Arabidopsis thaliana: one gene and its partners. The protein of the gene in region 1 interacts with the protein of each later gene in a pairwise test. Each region holds a gene or a part of one and is shown on either strand. Other genes may lie near its edges.

What was found. The genes of interacting proteins can lie anywhere in the genome.
Region 2: the proteins of SWEET7 (region 1) and ATBET12 interact in a protein complementation assay, tested with the Arabidopsis thaliana proteins (one large-scale study listed by BioGRID).
Region 3: the proteins of SWEET7 (region 1) and ANNAT1 interact in a protein complementation assay, tested with the Arabidopsis thaliana proteins (one large-scale study listed by BioGRID).

The regions. Positions count from the first base shown.
Region 1 is NC_003075.7:6,673,366-6,677,541, reverse strand, and holds SWEET7 (Nodulin MtN3 family protein), read right to left. Parts: upstream 2,649-4,176; 5' UTR 2,475-2,648; coding exon 2,426-2,474; intron 2,336-2,425; coding exon 2,299-2,335; intron 1,898-2,298; coding exon 1,516-1,897; intron 1,314-1,515; coding exon 1,194-1,313; intron 1,013-1,193; coding exon 824-1,012; 3' UTR 561-823; downstream 1-560. UniProt on the Arabidopsis thaliana protein: Mediates both low-affinity uptake and efflux of sugar across the plasma membrane.
Region 2 is NC_003075.7:8,308,324-8,312,884, reverse strand, and holds ATBET12 (Target SNARE coiled-coil domain protein), read right to left. Parts: upstream 2,567-4,561; 5' UTR 2,404-2,566; coding exon 2,390-2,403; intron 2,087-2,389; coding exon 1,936-2,086; intron 1,471-1,935; coding exon 1,414-1,470; intron 1,326-1,413; coding exon 1,266-1,325; intron 1,166-1,265; coding exon 1,080-1,165; intron 972-1,079; coding exon 947-971; 3' UTR 501-946; downstream 1-500. Other genes in the region: AT4G14450 (uncharacterized protein), read right to left, coding at 2,989-3,366. UniProt on the Arabidopsis thaliana protein: Required for vesicular transport from the ER to the Golgi complex. Functions as a SNARE associated with ER-derived vesicles.
Region 3 is NC_003070.9:13,223,321-13,227,739, reverse strand, and holds ANNAT1 (annexin 1), read right to left. Parts: upstream 2,573-4,419; 5' UTR 2,437-2,572; coding exon 2,361-2,436; intron 1,765-2,360; coding exon 1,619-1,764; intron 1,533-1,618; coding exon 801-1,532; 3' UTR 501-800; downstream 1-500. Other genes in the region: PUM9 (pumilio 9), read left to right, coding at 1-238, 312-416; AT1G35710 (kinase family with leucine-rich repeat domain-containing protein), read right to left, coding at 3,354-3,640, 3,725-4,419.

The sequences.
Region 1 (4,176 bases):
TTGATGAGTTTAATCAAAACATACTAGAGAAGCTGTAGAATGTAGACAAGCTTACTTTTGGGGAAAACTTTATCAAGATAACTTTGCTATTCTCTAATGGCCTGCTTACAAAGTGCATAATCATTTATTCTACTCATGTATAGAATCAGTTAGTTGCAATTGCAAAGTTTATGTGGATTAGTTTTCTTTAGGCTTTGGTTTTGATTGGTATGTCTATAAGTCCCGAATTATTTTCTTGGACCAAATAGTAGGTCCGACATAAAGCTGTGTACAAATAGTAGGTTTAAATGTTATGCGTTTGCTATATTGAAGATGTGTTTGTGTTTTTGTGAACATTGTTGTGTTTTCTTAGAGTTTGGATTTATTTGTAAATGAGGATTTGGGTTGGGATGAAAAAAGTCAATGCGTGGCTTTGACCATATGAATTTGCAACCAGGTTCTATTTGAAACATTAGAGCATTTCCAATTCTCTATAGCTTCTTCTTCCTCGGAGAAGAGAATAGCTTTTAGCTGTTTGATTTCAAAATTTGAGAGTGGAGTGAGTGAGTCACGTTGACTAATGACGACGACTAATTTATTTTAATTTAACCCCGCATAATCATAAAAGTTTGAACATTACACCAGAAACTTTGAAAAGTAGCTTATTGCTCCTCAAAAAAGGGACGTCAAAATTGCATTACAAAGTTTGAATTTTAAAACAAAGTAATGGAATTTTAGACAAAAAGAAAAACAAAGTAATGAAAGTTTCCATCTTATTCATATACTAAGAGTCTTGGATGGGAAAAAAATCCCATAATCCGAAGTTTAATAACACTAGACCAAATTAAACATTGTTAGGTTCTTGGTTGGTATTCGCGGTTTTCTCAGATCCGGTACGAGCGATCGCACTTGATAAACCGACGTAACCAGGTTGGTTTTCTCTTTCCGCCATTATTCTTTTGGTGGACTTATAGTAGGCACCATACAATATTAGTTGAGCTAGCCCAAATAAACATCCAATTCCATTTGGTATCTGCAAATACCCATTATAGAAAAACAACAGTTGTAAAATGTACAAATTGCTTAGATTTTTATTTCATGAAAATTCTTTACTCATGTACATATACATTTTTCTTTTTGTCACATAAGTAGTTAATATAGTTTTATAGGTGAAACATGAAATTATAATGAAAGAGAGTGTGAACAAAACTCACAGCCATGAATGGGTCGAAAGGCATGAGAGCATAAATTGTCCAAACGCCTGCGTTTAGAAATCCAGCTACCGATAACCAAAACGGCATGAACTCCACACTTTTTGTTTTTATTACCATTTTCTTTATATTTCATGCAAGGACAACAACAAAAAGATGAGAATGGTTAATGAAGTAGTGTTTGGTTCCTATCATCATTTAGTCAAACAAAAAATAATACATGAACCAACAAAAATAGGGAAAAGAGTTAAAGAGGAAACAATAACTTCTCTAAAAAGAACAAAAGCTTTTAAAATCTTAAACACAAAAACGAAACGTTACGTACCATAACAGACAATGGAGAAGCGTACATCATAACGTTGAAAACGCAACATACGATTCCAACACTCATAGTACGTTTTTCGGTAGTGTGTTGGAGAGTTAATACCAAAACCGCAAGAATAGCTATGAACGCGGTTTCAGCCGCTATAACAGCGGATATTATCAACCGCTGTTTTTGGCGGCCACAATAAACGAAAAAGATCGTAAGGAATACGATTTCGATCAAGATCCCTGTGCCGTTTATTGTAATGACCAATGTGCTGTCCGGATGCACCGTTGGTAGTCCGTAAAGAACCCAAACCAAACAGTTTATAAGAGTCGCTAAATACGGTATTGGTGAATATTCCTCCACTGACTTCTTTTTCACTATCCGAACAAATGTTGGCCTGATGTAATGAGACATTTATTAAAAGTATTAGTCATTTATTGATGATACATACTTTTAGTTTTTCTCTTGTTTTGGAAGAAACTCTATTACATAAATAAACTTTCTTAATTGTTATCAATTAGTATAATAGGAAAAAACATTATATTATGAGGAAAAAAGTATCAATTTTCACATTGTGATTATACTACACAAAGAAAATTTTGAAAGCTGCAGTGAGAATGAAAAACAAAAAATTTCAGATCTTTCAGTAGTCAGGATGAACCATGCATGTGTTAAATTCATGAAACAAGTTTGGTTTTCTTTAAGAAATACGATTTTCGTTTTTATGAATCTCTTTTTCACGTATCTTTCATTGTTTCTGGAATTTTATTTAAATCATAGATATAGCAAAATACTTACGTTGGTGACAAGAACAGACATAGAGCGATGAAGTTTCCTGCAAACAAGATCATCCAAAGTTAAGAAGAAGGGACAAAAAAATCATGATAGATATAATAACTTGTAGATGTCAAAATTCTGGACTAACCTATAATCCCCACAATCTTCCGAAGAAGGTTCAAATGTGCAAACACCATAATTTTGAGTGTAATTGGTGGTGATGAAGAAGAAGAAATTAATTAAATAATTTGAGAAAATAATCAGAGAAGAAGGTTGGTCGATTGGGTGGTGTTTATATAGAGCGAGATCATAGAGACCATGAATATATGACATGCATATAGGTGTGAATACAATGCATGCACCGTGTGAAAGCACCAATTCAGTAACTCTAGTTTTTTGAAATTATTTTTGGAGGTATTGAATTAAAACACACATTTATTAGACTTATATAAGGACAAATGTCTTAGTAATTATTTTATTTGTTTCTATTTAAAAGATGTTTGAAGTATTTACAGTAATTATAGATTAAGAAATCATTTAATTTAATTTGTTTGCTCTATTTAACTAAGAATAATTCAACTAATAATCAAACAAAATGTAGAATAGAAATGGTCACAACAAATACAAATAACTAATTTTGTATCAAAATTTGAATTTGTTATGTACTTTAGACATGAGTTTTTTTTTTTTTTGACAAACAGTCACTAAAGAATTATATTAGATTTTCTCACTACAATTTCAATGATAGTAGATTGGCTGATGTAAGCTTTTTAAGTATACAAATACCAGATTCGAAGCTAGTTATGAATATTAAGTACGATTATAAAACCAAAACGAAAAAGAGTATTAACGTGTCATTAAAATTTGTATACCAGTACTAAATTTCATTTGGCTTTATCTCGTTGTGCATCTTTTGTTGTGAGCTTATTTCACTGCATTTATTAGGGCACATATCAAAAAAATAAAGGAACTTAAAATGTTGTGAGATTTTTCTTCTTCTTTTATTAAGGAAAATCTGACGTTATTCAGTTTTTATTTTCTTCTAAATCTTACTATCGTAAAAGAAGAAATCATGTGGAAAAAGTTTAGCCGATTTCGAAATTGGAAGCACCACAAAACAAGCTTTTTTAGGTATTTTGATACGAAACTCTAATTTAGAAAAATCAAGGAGGAAAACTAAATGTTGTTCTTTTTATCATGCCCACTTTTCACCCAACCAAACCTCTAGTATACAACAGGCAAAATTAAGGGTTCTGTCATAGAAGAATAACATTTACTTACCGGTTGAATTACCAAGAATATGGTCAAACATTTTAACTTTTGATAAAGATGTTCAAATACTTTATACCAACAAAAATATAAGAAACTCACATTCTAGAAGAGGTTGTGAAAGAAGTCTCTCTCAAGAACATTAGGTCATTAGGTTAGTGTATATACTTGGAAATGTGAATGGATGTATGTCTACATCCATGCAACAAACAAAAAGACATCTATATGTGTGTGGATGTGTATGAAATAGTATATTATCTCTGTTTATTTCCTTGCAAGAAAGCACAAGACATCTATATTTATATACGTAACTAAATTTGATAGAAGAGACCTCTAAGAATGAAGTAAAATGACATCTACCAACACACATTTAAACGTTTATGGCATTTATTCATCTATATATACAGCATAATGCAAACATATATTTCTAAAGGAGAGTAAGTAATAATGTTTTCTTCTCTTATTTTAGTAAACAATAATTACAAAGCTTTCAACCTATAATATTATTTAGAGTCAGGATTAGAGTAGGTTTGAGGCCGTTGTCGAATTTACACGAAATCTTTTTGAAAGAGAACCTTGCAAATTAAAACATCCTTCAACTTTTCCTTAAGTTAGAAACAAAATCAAGCT
Region 2 (4,561 bases), 1.6 Mb from region 1:
CTAAAAGATCAGAAGAAATTGAAAAACTACTCCCGATTTAATAAGGTAACATTTTTTTTTTTTTACTTTTTTTCTATATATTGTGCCAGAACTCAAATGTTATCCTCTAGTAGCTATATTAAAACTCATGGTTATTTGACTATTTATCTAAACAGTAGTTTCAAGAAATTTACTATTTAGCATAGCAACCTGTTATTCACTCGTAAATTCAACATTTAAGACTATAGTTTACATAATTGTTAAGATGATTTGACCTAGAAACCGAACCATTTGGAAATGTACATGTCAACTTGTTGTCTATTACCAAACCAAAAATGAACTTGTCGATTATTGTCAACTTGTTACCTAAAGTGGAAAAAAAATCAAACTCTTCTGCATAGTAGTGTCCTGTCAACTTGTGGAATTGTTGCGAGTCGTTCAAAAATGATATTTCTCATGTTGTTACGTATTTGGATCTTTAGCAAAATGTCAATATACAGGACGGTATTTGCGCCTTAAAATTCTGAAAATTGGAAATTTTTGGAAACAAGACGCCAAGTTATCTTGTTTTTATTACAAAGTGCTAAACTTTTTTTCACAGAAAGCTAATAATTAAGCTTATCAATCAATCAATTAAGCTTTTTGTAGACAAAACTGCTAACATGAACCCAAGATCAAATAGTTGACAAATGATAAAGAAGCTTTTGCTACATTACATGAAATGACATGAGATGATTTTGCTTGTGACAAACAAGTCTCTATCAAACATTTTTTCTTTCGGTTGGTTCACTAGTCTCTTCACAATCTCTTTCTTTGTCTTGTTTCAATAGGGTTTCAATAGGGTTTCAATAGGGTCCCTTGACTTGTTTACTATGTCTGAATCATTCATTCATCAGGAGAAATCCAAAAATGGAAGTCCCAAACGAAACTATTCATTTAACACTCTACTTTCTTCTTGTATCCAAATTTACCCTTTGATGTAGTTTAATAGCCTGCAAAATCCGAAAGATTGTCAGTGTTCGAGTCAAAGAACAAGGACTTGAACCAGTCCCTAAGAAAAGTCAAGTGTTTTGATAACTATAAGAAGAAGTGTATTTTACCTAATAAGGTAATACATGATCAAGAACAGGAGCACAAAATAAGCTATGAGTTTGCAACTTTTTCGATTAGACTTCTTCTCAAAGACCTGTCGTGTTAAAATCGAGTTTTATTCAGATATAAGTTTTGATAGCGAAAAACAAAAGGGGTGATGCATATATAAAAGGTACGAAATCTTATTTACATACCAACTTGAAGCGGTTGATCGTTCCCGACATTATCCCCCTCGCGGAGTCCATTTTGTTCCCCTAGAGATACAACAACAAATAGCTTAGAAGAAAAGCATGTGATAGAGATCTACAAACTGAAACAGATGAAATCAAACTTTCAGCTTACCACTTTGTCAAGCAAGCGGTTATGATTCTCAACTTCTTCATGTATGTCTCCAGTCACCTGATAAGATATTATTACCAACTTACATCTCAGGCAAGCGTTATTGCAAACTAGATTTGACAAGAGTGAAAACAAAAAAGGCATTGTTTTCATAACTAGACTTTTCTAAGGCATTACATCATAGCTCGATCCTTGTCGTTGAGTCCGAAAGACTTATACAGGGTCTAGTGATAGCAATGCTGGAGAGAATGTTCTTAATCTACAATTTCAATACATATCTAGGAACTAAAAACTAAGTTCAATTTCTTTATATCTAGACTTTTCGAAAGCATTAGATCATCGTTCGATGCTCGAAAGATACATTTAGGGTCTCGACTTAGCAGTGCTTAAGGGACTGTTCTTTCTCAAACAATAAGGATCAGTAGCACCATCCATTTCACAATAAAGAATCACAATTCTTAATCCTAATGTTTATGCTTGTGTTGATATTTTGATTCTTTAGTTATATAGATGAAAGAAACATACTCTCTTGAGAAACGAAACTCTGTCCTGAAGATTTTCCAAAGCTTCATCATTATCACGTTCGTCATGAGCATACGAAGAAGAAGCTCTCAAGCGACCTTCTTCAAGTCCATCAAGGCCATCAAAGAGAGACGTTCTCGAAGCACGATTCTCCCTACAGAAATCAAAACCATTGGTTCTTAATCAGATCCAATTTTCTCCAATTCTAGTTGGATACACTCAATTCAAAATCTGGAAAACTGTAATTAGAACTCTAGAATTAGGTCAATGACTCAGAATCAGGAATTCGAATGTCGGTGATTCAAAAAACTAAGATTTCAGAAAGAGTGAATCTGGAGATTGTGAAGAGATCTAGATCAAATTCGATCGAGAGCAGAATCAATATCATTTGTTAAACATTGATGAATCTACATAAAAACAGGATTCGAATGCAGAGGAAGAGATCAATAGATCAAACCTTCGAAAGTTCATTTGATTCGTCTTCGATTCTACTCTCTTACGAAGGATTCAACATAACAGACGAATTTAGAGCATTGTAAAGGAAATTCTCGATTTGGATTCAATTCCAGAAGCGTAAGTTTTCGTGTTTTGTTTGCGAGAAACGTACGAAAGTTCTTACTGTACTACAAGTCCCTAGAAGAAGAAGAAGAAAATAGAATTAAATTGAATTGGGCTTACTGGGCTTTAGTTCGGCCCATATTGAATCCATGAAGTTAGTTTTTTTATTTGTTAAAAGTGAACACTTTGAAGAAATGAACTTTAAAGAAAAGTCCAACCCTAGATGTATGATGGGTTAATTTGACAATTTATTTAAAGAATTCATGCAACTATTTTCTCCATGTTTTTCCCATAATTTTGTTTCATGTGTTTTATGCATTTTTTTTTACCCATTTAGAACTTGAATTAATACTTTGTTAGTGAATAATATTATCTCTTAGAGGATAAAACTGATACAAAAACGTGAAAAATAGTTAACCGCGTGTAATATCACAGGAACAAAATTCACACGGGGCTGGTAGCTGAGTCATCAAATCTACAAAATTTTGATGAACCGTTCTAAACCTGGATGAACGGTGGGACAAACGTTGTTGGCTCGTAGCAGAACGGCGACGCGGGATGTTGCCATTTCTTGAAAACTGGTGTCTTCTTCACCTCTTCTTCCACTGGTATCTCAGTCTTGTTCTGCGGCGGAGGAACATGTGATTGGTCGAAGGATGATGTTAGAGAAGGAGCGAGCGGTGAAAGGAGAGGGATCGCCACGTTCCAGTTACTAAAAGACGTTGGTTTGATCATTAAAGACGGAGCTCGTCTCTGTAGCTGGCTAAGTTGCCTCTCGTTACTGGCCGCGGAGCTGCTTGTTCTTTGCATCGTGGACGCCATGGAGATAGATTTGTGAATTGTAGGATAATTGAGTACTTTTGTATCAAAGAACATAATAATGATGTTGGTGTGTGATGTCTGATGTTTATGTAGATGACATATATAATAAGGTGAGGAGGGCCACGACTTGTAACATGTTGACTAGGTACATTACATACACGCTTGGATATGGTCATTGGTCAGAGTTGGAGAAAGAAAATTAGCTGCTTTATCTTCCCTTTTCCCGTTTCTTTACATTTTTGTTTTGGCAATACTCTTTGACCAATTCTTTTTGAATTTTCCATGCTTGTTTTTATGTTAAAGTTCTTTTTAATATTAAATTACAAAGACATCGATCTTGTTAATGGAAGTCAAACATGTTCATGAAATGTTAAATGGTGGATGAGGTTTACCTATACAGATTCTCGTGAACATGTTCTATTGGACTTTTATAATATATATGGACCAGAGGTGAATATGAATATGAATATGTAAGTTGAGTCTAGTGCGGACAGAGCTTTACAATCTAAGCCACAAAACAAAAGAAAGCAAAAATCGGACCATGTCACGATGTGCTTAAATATGTGAGGTTTTTGCATTTTTCAGGCCAAGTCAAGTCAACTAGCCGCCTGATTAACTTCTACACGAACAAAAAAATGTAATCCAATGGTTTGTGTTAGTGTTGTCAGTGTGTCATCACCCTTATGGCCTTATTCAAACCCGCATATTGCATGTTGCTAACCAAAATATAAATAGTAAGAAAGTTAACATGATCTTGTAATATATGAGTATACTGATTTGTATTATAAGTCCCATCGTGGTGTCATTAATCGAACACAGAGCCGTCTCTAGTATTTAATAGATTGCAAGCAAAGAACAAAATTTAGACCTATTTTAATGAGTGAAAATGAAAAAATAACAAGGTAAATGAAGGTAGATGGACTCAAACTTTTGACGACCATAGGTATCTAAGAATCAAATAATCAACGTTTTTACTGAAAGTTATAAAAAAATTAGGTCAATATTTTATTTGTAGTAATTGAGGCCGCAAGCATAAATTTGGTCCTATTGCGTTCATGGACGGCTCTGATCGGACATAAATACGGTATAAAATTTTTTAAAAATAAAAGTCAATAAACAAGATAAATCTTAGTATTTATTCGGTATAAAATAAAAATCTTTGCATATTAAATAAATATTTGAATATGTATTTGAATTATAGGATCTTGTAAAATAATGATTGTTATATGTCTAGTTAACAGTTTTATCG
Region 3 (4,419 bases), on another chromosome or scaffold:
GCAGTACTTAATAGATCAACAAGTTTCTGCAGTGAAGTTGCTGGTTCAGTTTAGAATGCACTACGCCGAGTTAGCTACTCAGAAGTTTAGTAGCCACGTGATTGAGAAGTGTCTAAGGAAGTATCCAGAGAGTCGAGCTGAGATCGTCCGTGAGCTCCTCTGTGTTCCAAACTTTGAATATCTTCTGCAAGATCCTTATGCGAACTATGTGATCCAAACTGCTCTCTCTGTAACCAAAGTAAGTCCAAATCAATACATATGTTATAAGCTTTTAGAAACAGAACTTGACATGGCTTTTGGGGTTGATGCAGGGACCTGTTCGTGCTAAATTGGTGGCGAAGGTTTACAGGTACGGGAAACTACACTCGAGCCCTTACTGCAAGAAGATTTTCTCCAAGACCATCTTGAAGAAGTGACTTTGATTAGTAACTAAAAAATGTTGTTGTTGTTATTTTGTGTTTCAAGATCGGATAGGGCTTTAGAGAAAACAATGCCCTTAACTTTTTTGTTGTTGGTCTCCCTTTTTGTAGTGACAACAACTTTTGTCAAAACCAGAACTACTTGTTAGTCTGTGTTTTAGGCCAATGCTCTTCATATATATATAACTTAAGAGACCACACTGGTTCTCTCTGTCTCTCTCTTTTGCATTATTTAGGAACTCAAAACACACAACAGAAACAAACAAGGTTTTTGTAGAAACAAAATCAAACGATTTGAAACTCATCAAAGAGAGAGAGAGGGAGATAAGAGATAACAGAAGCTGTAGAGCAGCTTATGTTTCTCTGTGGAGGATTGATTGATTAAGCATCATCTTCACCGAGAAGTGCGACGAGCATCTTCTCGTAATCTCCACGAGTGTCTTTGGTAATAGCTTTCTCCAAAGGAATGCTGTTCCTGCGCTGGTACTCCTCTCCAATGACCTTCAAGTCAATCTCAGCTCTTGTGGTCACAATTCTAGTGAGTGCTCCTTCATCAGTTCCAGTTTTGTTGATTGCTGAACGAAGAACATCGACAAAGTAAAGCTCTGGTCTTGTCAAGCACTGAATGGTTGACCTCAAAAGTGCAAGGAACTTGTCATCATCATCTCCTTCCTCAAGACTCTTGAGAATTTCCTCGCCATGATCATCTTGGTAACGGTTAAAAGTAGCATTGATCTGAGCTTTGCTTCTTGTGGACAAGATTCTAATAACATCCTCATCATTGTAGTGCTTGTCCTTGATTTTCTCATGGACCAGCTTAGCTTCTTGCTTAGCCAATGTCATGTTCACTTCATCTCCTTCGTACCTGTATGAGGTAACAAGAGAAACCAAAAGCTTTCTGAAGTCACCGGTAGTGTGGTGAGCAACGTCCTCTTCAAGAGACTTCTTGTAGCGAGCATGGTAAGCTTGCCTAGCGTGAAGCAGCTGCGTTGATGTCCTTGTGCAAGCAACTTCCATAAGAACTTGGTTGCTTGAAGTCCATCTTTTTGTAGCTTCATTAGCCAATAAAGCATCACGCTCACCGGGTTCAAGAGTCCACAACAAGATAGCTCTCTGTCCATGACCAAAAAACCAATTAGAATACAATGACTTCACACAAGATGTTTAAAAGTCGATACTTAAAAGTCCGAAAACCGAACCTCGAAATCGTTAGAGAGCTCCTTGTCAAGAGTCTTGAGAAGGTCTTCGCCGTAGGTTTCGTGGTATGCTTGCCTGATGACTTTCCTCTGTTCAGCACTTCTGTGAGCCAAGATTGATATGATCAAGTCCTCGTTCGTACCCCATCCTGCGAAAAACACGAATCAGATTCACTTTACATAACCATCAAAGTCACATACTTCAGATCCAAGTCACACACACTTCAGATCCATAATAACAGAACCGGTCAAACAGATTCACAAAATATAAATCTTAAGATCTTAGTGTTGTATTACACGTAACTACATTATAGATCTAGACTAAGAAGACAGATCTGTGACAGTGAGAATCAAAACACAACTCAATCAAGATCTCGTGTGAATGTAATCATTGTCATTATCAACATGATCAGACAATCAAAACTTCATCACTAACACAAAAGATTGTTATAGATCACACAAAGAAAGGAGATCATTGTCACTGATCCGATCCATGAAGGAACAATCTCGATCTACATCATCGTACAAATGATCATAAAACGCTACCGACACAACATTCATATCATCGGACCAAAACAAAGATCGATCCACATGAAAAACAATCAAAACAAATGATCATACAATAACCCACCAAACGAAAACCAACAGATTCACATCACTTTTACAAAAAGTGGATACTGATCATGTAAACAAGAAGGTAACAAAAACAGAGAACGTAACAAGAAGAATCATGAAACTATTATACCTTCAAAAGCGGTTCTCAATTGCTCAGCATCATCAGAAGGAGCAGGAACAGAATCAGAAACCTTAAGAGTCGCCATTTTTCTTCTACTTTTAGTGTTTTGTGTATGTTGGGAGTCGAAGCCGACACAAGATTGACTTATAAAGGGAAAGGCTAAGAGGTTTAGGACACGACGTGGCCTGTCCGTATATACCAAAAATATCCCAAACGAATTATTAATTCTTCTGCCACGTGTTTCTTACACTTTATGAATTATTTAGCATTTGCTTAACTTTATGCACAAATCATGATTTCATAAAAAACTATCGTAATCTCGCATTAACGGTTTCATTGGTTGTCACAAAATCATCCGCAAGATTATAAGTGTTTAGATTTCGTTATTATAATCCATTTTGTATTATTTTAACACGTTACAGAGTACAAGAGTGTAAGATTTTTTTATTATCACTTGCAAACGTGATGTCCATTAGAACTCATTATACAAAAAAAAACTTATTTCTTTCTTTACAAATCTCCTACTATGCATTTTTTTTTTTAATCTCCTACTATGCATAAGAAATCTCTTACTAATTCTGGCGATATACAGATAGACAGTATCCAAAACTTTATTTGAATGTTCATATGTGAGGAGTAACACAATGACCATTATCTAAAAATGCTTTTAACAGTTTTTTTTTTTTTTTTTTTTTTTTCATTTTTTTAACTTCATAGATTTCCATTAACCAAACACATTACAAGACCAAAAGGCCTAACATGGCACGCAAGCCGCAAAGATAAAAACAAACAAGGCCCAAAGACCAACAAGGGCGCAGCCCAATACATACAAAAGCTGAAGCAGGCCGAGAAGCCCAAACAACAACAACAAAAGCTGAAACGAGAGTCGACACCCCTTCCTGCAAACACAAGCAAGAACAGAGAACAAAAGCCAACAGAGATTACTGTTGCTGTATAGATAAACACAATGATAACATAGAAATTGATGGAGAAGTTCAGTTTCTAAGAAAATGTAGTGGAGATTGACAACATCGTTGGCCGAGATTCTGGATTTGCTTGTAAACACAATAAAGCCATTTCCACCATCTTCAAGAGCTTCTCTCTATTTTGTCCCCGTGGTTCTAATACACGTTCATCGGAAATGCTTCTTAGCGACAGAGCTTCTCCTGGAGACGAAGACAAACTCGATACCAAATCTCCCGGATGTTTCCCAATTATCAATTCGAGTATCAAAACCCCGAAGCTATACACATCGCATTTCTCCGTCACCTTCATCGTGTAAGCAAACTCTGTTGCGAAAAATCAAGTTCAATTTCGAATTTAGTGATTTAAATTTCATAAGCTCAAAATCAGATTTAGGGATTTAGATTTACCTGGTGCAACGTAGCCGTAGGTTCCAGCAACGGCGGACCAGTTTGATGAATCCGTCTTTAGAAGTTTTGCTGTACCAAAATCGGAGATCTTAGCTGTGTAATCGTTATCGAGAAGGATGTTTCCGCTGCTAATATCACGGTGAACGATCGGTGTTATTCGGTCATGGTGCATATACGATAAAGCGTGAGCCACACCTTTCACGACGTTGATCCTTTTGGTCCAAGTGAGTCGCTTAGCTTCTTCGTCGTTGGCTAAGAGTTTGTTTAAACTTCCTTTTTCCATGTACTCGTAGATCAGAAATGTGTGGCGGCGGTGGGAGCAGAAGCCGAAGAGCTTCACAACGTTGCGGTGACGGATCTCTGTTAATGCTTTTACCTCGTTTAGGAACTCTTGCTTCACAACTGGCTTTGATATCTCTTCGTCTATTGTGTCATGTAGTCGTTTAACGGCTATGATTGTATCTTGGAGGTTTGCTCTGTAGACTTTGCTGTATCCTCCGGTTCCGATGAGGTGTGTTGGATCGAATTCGTTTGTTGATTCGATGATATCTTGGTATTTGAATTTGCCATCAACGCTGAATATGGACATATTCTCTCCTGTTTCAGGATCTGTGTTTCTTCCATTTTGTAGTTTTCGTTTCCGAATGCAGTAGGTGAATGTGTTTGCACATATAGAGAGAATGACGAGTACTCCT